Linked DNA regions of Schizosaccharomyces pombe. Changing the gene in region 1 together with any one later gene gives a genetic interaction. Each region holds a gene or a part of one and is shown in the gene's direction. Other genes may lie near its edges. The genes, in order: prp31 and spo20.

The links.
Region 2: mutations in prp31 (region 1) and spo20 together harm fitness more than expected from each alone (negative genetic interaction), as found in Schizosaccharomyces pombe (one large-scale study listed by BioGRID).

Annotation. Positions count from the first base shown.
Region 1 is NC_003423.3:741,188-745,620, reverse strand, and holds prp31 (U4/U6 x U5 tri-snRNP complex subunit Prp31), read left to right. Parts: upstream 1-1,777; 5' UTR 1,778-2,101; coding exon 2,102-3,658; 3' UTR 3,659-3,785; downstream 3,786-4,433. Other genes in the region: protein Mdm35, read right to left, coding at 1,281-1,451, 1,514-1,552; golgin protein Rud3, read right to left, coding at 4,141-4,433.
Region 2 is NC_003424.3:607,133-611,262, forward strand, and holds spo20 (sec14 cytosolic factor family, phospholipid-intermembrane transfer protein Spo20/Sec14), read left to right. Parts: upstream 1-1,836; 5' UTR 1,837-1,859; coding exon 1,860-2,018; intron 2,019-2,066; coding exon 2,067-2,369; intron 2,370-2,396; exon of another isoform or gene 2,397-2,565; coding exon 2,566-2,688; exon of another isoform or gene 2,689-2,710; intron 2,711-2,751; coding exon 2,752-3,027; 3' UTR 3,028-3,571; downstream 3,572-4,130. Other genes in the region: exosome 3'-5' exoribonuclease subunit Rrp6, read left to right, coding at 3,754-4,020, 4,079-4,130. UniProt on the Schizosaccharomyces pombe protein: Required for transport of secretory proteins from the Golgi complex. Catalyzes the transfer of phosphatidylinositol and phosphatidylcholine between membranes in vitro. Essential for viability and secretion.

The DNA of each region.
Region 1 (4,433 bases):
TGGTGTGCATAAAATTACTCATGGGCTGCTAGAAAGAGATTTAATTTTTTTAGGCAATTTCTTTATTTGTAAAATGATTTGCTTTGACATGTATTTCTTTAGAGATAAGTATTTCGATTTTTAATATTTTTGTTTATATATATGTAAATACGACTCTTAGGAAAATTATATATAAAAAAACCCAAATTTTCATTAACTAAAAATAATAACAATATTTTCTATAAATAAACTGCGCTGCAGAAGCTAGCAAAAACAAACCTGGTCTTATTAATTCCATCACCCACTCGTTTTTATTGTTTGCCCTTGTGCAATTGCTAGGTTAACGACTCAAAATTTGGCGTAACGCATAATATTTTAGGTAAAAATTTGTTTTTGATTAATAATCTGCAATTAAACTCTAATATACCAATTTGCTACCTAACTATGAAAGACATGTTTTACAAAGGAAATTGACTGCACTTCAACTTTCAGCTTCTTAATACCGTATATCAATTACAATCAATAGTATGAAATTCTCAACAGAACTGATTACTACTGGACTCAGTGTACTTTTGAATACAATAGTTCCAAAACTAATAAAGAAAATACTGAACATTCATGCAAAGCTTTTCCTAAACGTAGAGGTTCGAAATTTGACTTAACAGTTACAAATTTTATTTATTTAAAAATGATAAAAATCAATTGACATTTACAGTATTTTTTTTCATTCATTCAAATTTTTATTGTTTAACTGCGACTGATGTAGTTAATATGTATATGTTATATATTTTTTAGTGACAGACTTGGACACTATGCCTGAGTGGTTAAAGGGACAGACTAGAAATCTGTTGCGGTCTCCGCGCGCAGGTTCAAATCCTGCTGGTGTCGAATTTTTGCCAAAATAATGTTTTTGCATGTCGAAGTGAAAATAGACTAATTAAGAAGGAATACCATTCAATTCTTTGATTATAAGTATATTCTTACAAGTTTTCTACAAAGGTGAGTCCAATGAAAAGATGTTCATATCATTTTACTTAGTATGATCTTAGTCAACTACCCTTTTAGAGAATTATTGGTTTGCCAGCAAAAGGATATGCCGAATCATATGTTCTTAAACAACACCTTTAGAAGTGTATACTTGCTTCATGGCAGAGATATTTCGTTACCTACAATTCTGATAAACTTACAATTGCACAGATGCTTATCACTTTTTCACCCGTTTTAAAAGAAGAGCTTTATTCCATGGTACTGCTATCTTTCAAAGCAACCTTAAAAATCATATATCCAAAGATGCTCTTACTTTAATCTTCTTTGCGTGCTGCTTCAAGAAGAGGATCTATTTTTTTCGTTTTCAAAGCCTTCAAAAGACATGATTTGTACTCGGCAAAGAGCTCATCACAGTCTCTATTATGGAGATCACCTTTTAAGAATTTATTCGCATACCAATCGTTAAAGCAGGCATCATACTTCTTCTGTTCATAATTTAGTCAGCTAAAATTCGTCCACAGTGTTTATCATATAAAGAAAACTCTACCTTAGCAGGGGTACATTCTTCACTAACAGAGGACGACATAGTTGGATTCAGTAATCTTGATACTTTTCCAAACTGTTGAATGAATGAATTTTCTCCAGATCAATTAAACCAATTTCCTTGTCAAGGAAAAAAAAAATGAACGAAAAAAATTTAACAAACTTGAAGAAATGAATCAAGCAGTTTTCGATCCCAATTCCCTATGACCGTAGTAACGTGGTTGTCTAGTATGTGTAGAGCACTAAGCAAAATACCCCATGCCAGTTCAAGTTTGACACTCCACTTGGAACTTGTCAATAAAGCGAATTTGAATCTTATTTTTACTTATTTATTTGCATTAATCTTCAAATTTGCACGATTAGTGCTATTAAGCCTATAAAAAGTTGCAGTTCTATTAAATAGCCACATACATCTATTTTGTACATTACTATCCTGGCGTTTGCTGATTACGTCCTATTTTTGAATTATTCATTAGTCTTTTTTTTAGTGAAATCTTAGACTTCCAGAACCAGCTTTGTTATTTTTTTTTCTTTTTCTGGCAACTACGCTTGACAAAAAGTTTTTCATTAGGCAAGGATTTTAACCAATATAATGTCACTGGCAGATGAATTATTAGCTGATCTTGATGATATTGAGGAAACTACAGAATCTACAATTACTGATGAACTTGGGCCAGATGCGAAGAAAAGGCGGTTAGAGTTACAATTAGAGGAAGGAAATGGCATTTCTGCTGAATTAGAAAACGATTTGGATATTACCAAAATTAGCGATTCTGCTCAAAAATTGCCTAGTGAAGTTGCTAATAAATTTAATGACAATAATGAGAACATTTATCAGCTGTTGAATTCTACACGTCTTCGCGATATCATAGAAGGAACTGAGAAATATAAAGGCACCGAAAAACAAGCTATCACTGGAAACATCGAAGATGATCTCGAATATCACCTTATCGTGGATTCTAATTCAATTGCGATGGAAATTGACGATGAAATCCTGCGGCTGCACAGACTCGTGAAGGAATGGTATCATGACCGATTTCCTGAATTAAGTAGTTTGGTCTTGAATGCCTTTGACTATTGCAAAACTGTTAGTTCTCTGTTAAATGATTTAGACAACAGCAAAACCAAACTTTCCTTTCTTCCTTCTGCTACAGTGATGGTTATTGCTACAACAGCAACGACAACAGTGGGAAAGCCTCTTCCAGATGAAATGATAAAAAACGTTAAAAATTGCTGTGAGGCAATTCAGCAATTGGGTGAAGAAAAGCAAAAAATTATTGAATATGTCCAATCAAGAATTAGTGTCGTAGCTCCTAATTTGTCTGCAGTCGTGGGTTCTACCACAGCTGCCAATTTAATCGGCATTGCAGGAGGATTGACTAGACTTGGAAAGTTTCCTGCTTGCAATTTACCAGCGCTCGGAAAAAGGAGGCTGACAACAATTGGTATTAACAATCCGGCTGTTAGTGGGGATTATGGATTTTTGTATATGTCGGAAATTGTTCAAAAGACCCCTCCTGATGTACGAAAGCAAGCTATCCGAATGACTGCTGCTAAAGTTGCTTTAGCAGCAAGAATCGATTCCATTCATGAATATCCTGATGGCTCATTTGGCATATCTGCTCGAAAGGAAGTTGAACGGAAAATTGAAAAGCTTTTGGAACCTCCATCACAGAAACCAACTGTTGCGCTACCCGTTCCTGACGATAGGCCAAAACGTCGTCGTGGAGGAAGAAGAATTCGCAAGATGAAAGAGCAATATGCCGTAACGGAATTGCGGAGATTACAGAATCGCGTCGCCTTTGGTAAGGAGGAGGCGGAAGTCTTTAATTTTGACGAAACGGAAGGTCTTGGTATGCTTGGTCAAGAAGGTGAAGGAAAAATTCGTGCAGTGTCAATTGATTCTCGAACTAAATTACGGTTACCAAAAGCGCGGAAGGCCCAACTACAATCAATGGCACAGAAGAATCCCCTTGCTGCAAGCGGTTTACAAAGTTCATTATCCTTCACACCTATTCAAGGCATTGAACTAGTGAACCCCTTACTTCAACGACAACAAAAAGTAGAAGAGGCCAACAAATGGTTTCGTGATGGTGTTTTTACACAGATAAAGAAGGATTCTAATGAGCCGAAAAATAAATTTTCATAATAATGTCTTCATAATGATTAGTTACTTTGCATATAGCTATGTTGCTTTTGCATACTAGTAATACAGACCATAACTATGACCTGAGTGATTAAAATAAAATGATATTTTTAAAATTCTTCGAAAAAACTGATATTAACAAACAATTTTGAAAATTAAGAATATTGACTAATAGATGAAATTGCAACAAGCGCTTTTGCCATAAAGCTAGGCATAGCAGGAGAAGGCAAAATATCAAAATGAACGTATGAAACTATTACTTCAAGAATGATATAGTCAACCTTCAAAATGTGTGAAAAGAGAGTAAAAAAATACTAAAACCTTGTACGCGCGGCAAAAGGTAACCCCTAATTAAGTTGTGAAGTAAGAAAAAAAAAAGCGATACATAAAAAGAGCGAAAGATATTATTATTTACAGAAAAAAGAAAAATCTTTCATACCATTGCTCAATTGAAACGTAAAATTATCGGTTAGTGTGGAAGAAAATTATGAGTCATGGAAAGAACGTCTTTTGGAAAAGGAATGATCGGAGAATAGAGAGTTAGAGGACGCACTGTGAGGAATACTCCAATTATTTACAGAGGAACCAGGACGTTGAAGTCCCGTTTGTTCCCTTTGCGTATCGTTCCAATCTAACACGGAAGAAATTAATTGCAATATTTCGAAACGTTTAGTGTCAGCGCGAGGAAGCGTCAAAAAGGAGACAAACAAATTAGAAATAAGTTGTTTGTCAATTTTTTCTGCATTATTTCCATCTTTAAGCATGCAGAGAGCCTTTG
Region 2 (4,130 bases), on another chromosome or scaffold:
AATTTATGCAGATGGTTTTCTTCCAACTACCTTTATTTTTTTTTCTTCTTCACAACTTTATGTCTTAGGTAGAAGATACGGCGGAGTGGTACTAAAATTGCATCCTTTAAATAGATGAAAAATTAAGTTGCCACTCAAATGAATGGAACTTCGGGCTTTTCAAAACCACCGCCAGGGAAATGACATGAAAACAATTTTACTATCCCGAAATTTTCTTTTTTTCAGCTTCTGCACTGATAGCATAATCGTTTCCAAAACAAACTGTAAACTAAATTTTCATAAAAGCAGTAAATTTTCAAACTTGGAGATATCGGGGTAGGGTTACCGTTATTGCAGTTCAAATAACCATTGCTATTATTTAATATGTATAAAAAAACCATGTAGTAATAGACTCGTGTGCAAAGTACACTTCAGCTGGGTTTGAGGTGCAAGGTTGCCAATTAAGAAACGTAGTACTGATTCTTTTCACCTCTACCATACTTATTCAATGTTAAATGCTTATAACATTGATATCCACGGTTTTCATCCTATATTCAAACTATGCTTCCTGCCTTTAGTAACAAGCTTGCGTAATGCATTGTTTCCTGCATTTATTCGTTTGTTAAATTATAACGATATTTTGACGATTATACTATCCTTCCGTAACGTTAATATAATAATCAAAAATTTATATTGTTATAGGTCTTTAAAGGTAAAATCAATGTAAATAAATGTATTATTGCTAACATGTAGAAAATTTGATACTAACTTGAAAATTTTATGCAAGTACAAAATGGACTGTCCATTCAAGCAATGCCTTTCACTCTTGTATGTTTTGTTAAACTTTGCGTGGAAGAAACGCTTTCAAAATTATGGCTGAAGTTCGATCGAAAGAGAAGGAAACAATAATTACGTTTGCGAGACAAAACTAGTTTTTAAAAAAATTTTGTATATATATTTAAGTGGCTGTTAGTCTAATTATTATTTATTTTATTCATTCTTTAGATTTTATTTTATTTTATTTTTTATGTCGTATAGTATTACTTTATTTACGTTTCAATATGTATTTTTTGTTAAATTGCTTATTCACGAAATATTTTTCCATTTGCAATAAAATTTCTTTTCCTTTACTATATTTGCTTATTTAAAGTTCTTTTTTAATCACAACTCTATGACAATTTTCTACTCCTCATTTATAATACGAAAACTGAACAATCATAAAATTGAACTGTTTTACTTCACATAAATATCCAGCTACGATACTCCTATACCGTTTTTACATAGACAACAATCTCAAAATCGCAATATGATCATCCATTTACATATTCTATACTCTATGTACTATAACGCTTCTTAGTGCCTGGTTTACTCTTTCAAAGCTGTCAGGTGCATAAATATTGATGACAGAAAATCACCACAAGCGCACTCAAAGGCTTAAATAAAATAAACATTATCTATCGTTCGTTTTTTTTGGTAAAGAAAAAATGCTTCCACAAAGTTAAATTGTCACTTTTTCCCCATGTTTTATTTACCTTCAACGCCTCGTTGAAGGCCATTCTGCATCTCAAATTTGTCGCACTTTTCATGCAAGTTGAAAAATTGGTTATACACAATTTAAACCTCATACGAGGAGCTTCTTCCTCTCATCTGATTTTTAACACTGAAGTTTATCCTCATACTCACATATAACAATAGCGTTGGGTGTAGCATGGCAACAAAGGTTCCTGCGGTAGTAGGTAAAAGGCCCCCACGCTTGACTGATCCCCCACGGCTGATGACCACTAGTATTAAGGTCGCTGACGTTCTTCCTTTTCCTTTATACATCTTGTACAGACTGGGTCATTAGGTCTTCTCTCTACAACCATCGTCTAAACAAAAAGATGTCAGAAACTATATCGGATCCTTATCCTCTAACTAATCCAAATGCTCCATTAGGGCACCCAGGGCATTTGAATTCTACACAGCAAGCTACGCTAGATAGCATGCGTTTAGAGTTACAAAAACTTGGATACACGGAAAGATTAGACGATGCCACTTTAGTAAGTTGTACAGCAGGAAACTTTGTGTTTGTACTAATGGATTCTTAGTTGCGTTTTTTGAGAGCCCGTAAATTTAATTTGCAACAGTCGCTGGAAATGTTTATTAAATGCGAAAAGTGGAGAAAAGAATTTGGTGTTGATGATCTTATCAAAAACTTTCATTATGATGAGAAAGAAGCCGTTTCCAAATATTACCCTCAATTTTATCATAAAACTGACATCGACGGCCGTCCGGTATACGTTGAGCAACTCGGTAACATTGATTTGAAGAAGTTGTACCAAATCACGACTCCCGAGCGTATGATGCAAAATTTGGTTTATGAATATGAAATGCTTGCTTTAAAACGGTTTGTAAGTAAATTCAAATGATTAAATGTATCTCCAGTAATTCTCATAATCAAACCTTTCCTTTGGATTTGCATATTCCATATAAGGCTGGTTTTTCGGCTTTTTAATAGAAAAACTTTTGGTTTTCTACTGTGTTGAATTTTTTGTGATATATTTTTTCATTTTGATATTTCTTTTCATCTTTATTAACCGTCTTCAGCCCGCTTGTTCTCGTAAAGCAGGAGGCTTGATTGAAACTTCGTGCACAATCATGGATCTAAAGGGTGTTGGTATTACTAGTATTCACTCGGTTTACAGCTACATTCGTCAAGCATCAAGCATTGTAAGTTGAAAATGTTGAAATTTTTGTTCTTTTTTTTTTTTTTCAAGTATTAACACGTTAAAGAGTCAAGATTATTACCCCGAAAGGATGGGCAAGTTTTATGTAATTAACGCTCCTTGGGGATTCTCTTCTGCCTTTAATCTTATCAAAGGTTTTTTGGATGAGGCAACTGTCAAAAAAATTCATATTTTAGGCTCAAACTATAAGAGTGCTCTGCTCGAACAAATCCCTGCTGATAATCTTCCTGCTAAACTCGGTGGAAACTGCCAATGTCCAGGTGGCTGCGAACTATCTGACGCCGGTCCATGGCATGAAGAACAGTGGATGAACAAAAATTAGACTTCTTTCTCCGAACGGGATTTAATTGCTAGAATAGATGAATGTGGTTTGTCCTTTGATAAGAGTAATAGTGTGTAGAGTTTTTGCCGATCTTTCAACTTTGTTCTGCGTTTTAGTTCTTAAAGGTCTTCGTTCTATTTTTACTCAGCATCTCAGGTACTTCCTTCTACTTACGGTTTACTATTCGACGAAATTATCGTATATAGATCGAAGCATATATAAATATTTTATTTCGAAAGTCATGTGTTGATCCATCATCAACATCATGGGATGGTTGCTGTTACAATTCTTAATCCTTATAGAAGGTCTCAATACATATATCGTTCATTAATTTTCCAAAAAAGGACGCTCGATGATCCAACTGATTTGATTGTTTCATCCATTCTAGATTATCCGAAGTTTTTAAATTTGTAATTCATCTACTTTGATTATTTTTTTACTTTTTGATCAAAATTGAATGCCTATATTATAAAAGACCTCTCTATAGTTGCCTGCTAATAGTTTCACAATTTTGAACTAATCATAAATAATTGCTTTTACATAATTCTGCTAAGATTTTGCATTTGTGTAAAATATTTTATATATATAAAAATAGCTCTTGTATTTCGTACTTTAACGATGTCTATATTCAAGTTCGGTAATTCGTTGAGCGTGTGGTAAAAGTGCTTGAAAATTCCTGAACCAAACCAAAAACCTTACTGATCCAGTAGGGTAAACAATAGCATAATGGATGAGTCAGAATTGTTTAAGGGTTTAATGAATAGTACAGCCTATTGCTCTGAATTGGCAAAGGTTGATATACCGTTTTATAAATCAATTGATACCGAATTCAATGAAAACATAAAAAGTGTTTCTTCTCGTTTTATGAGATTAATTGAATTGCTTCTTTCTAAAGTAGACAGAAGTCGGGCGGAGGATATTGTGGACGTTGAAGATATAGATAATAGATGGGCAGAAGTATCGGACACATTAGACATACTCTTTGAAAAAGCTGTAAGTGAATTTTTGAAATTGTAAACGGATTTTATTTAACTAAGACGTATGAATATAGGACTATTCTATCGATAAAGCTCAAGGACTTTTAAAAAAGCCAGCGATCGAAA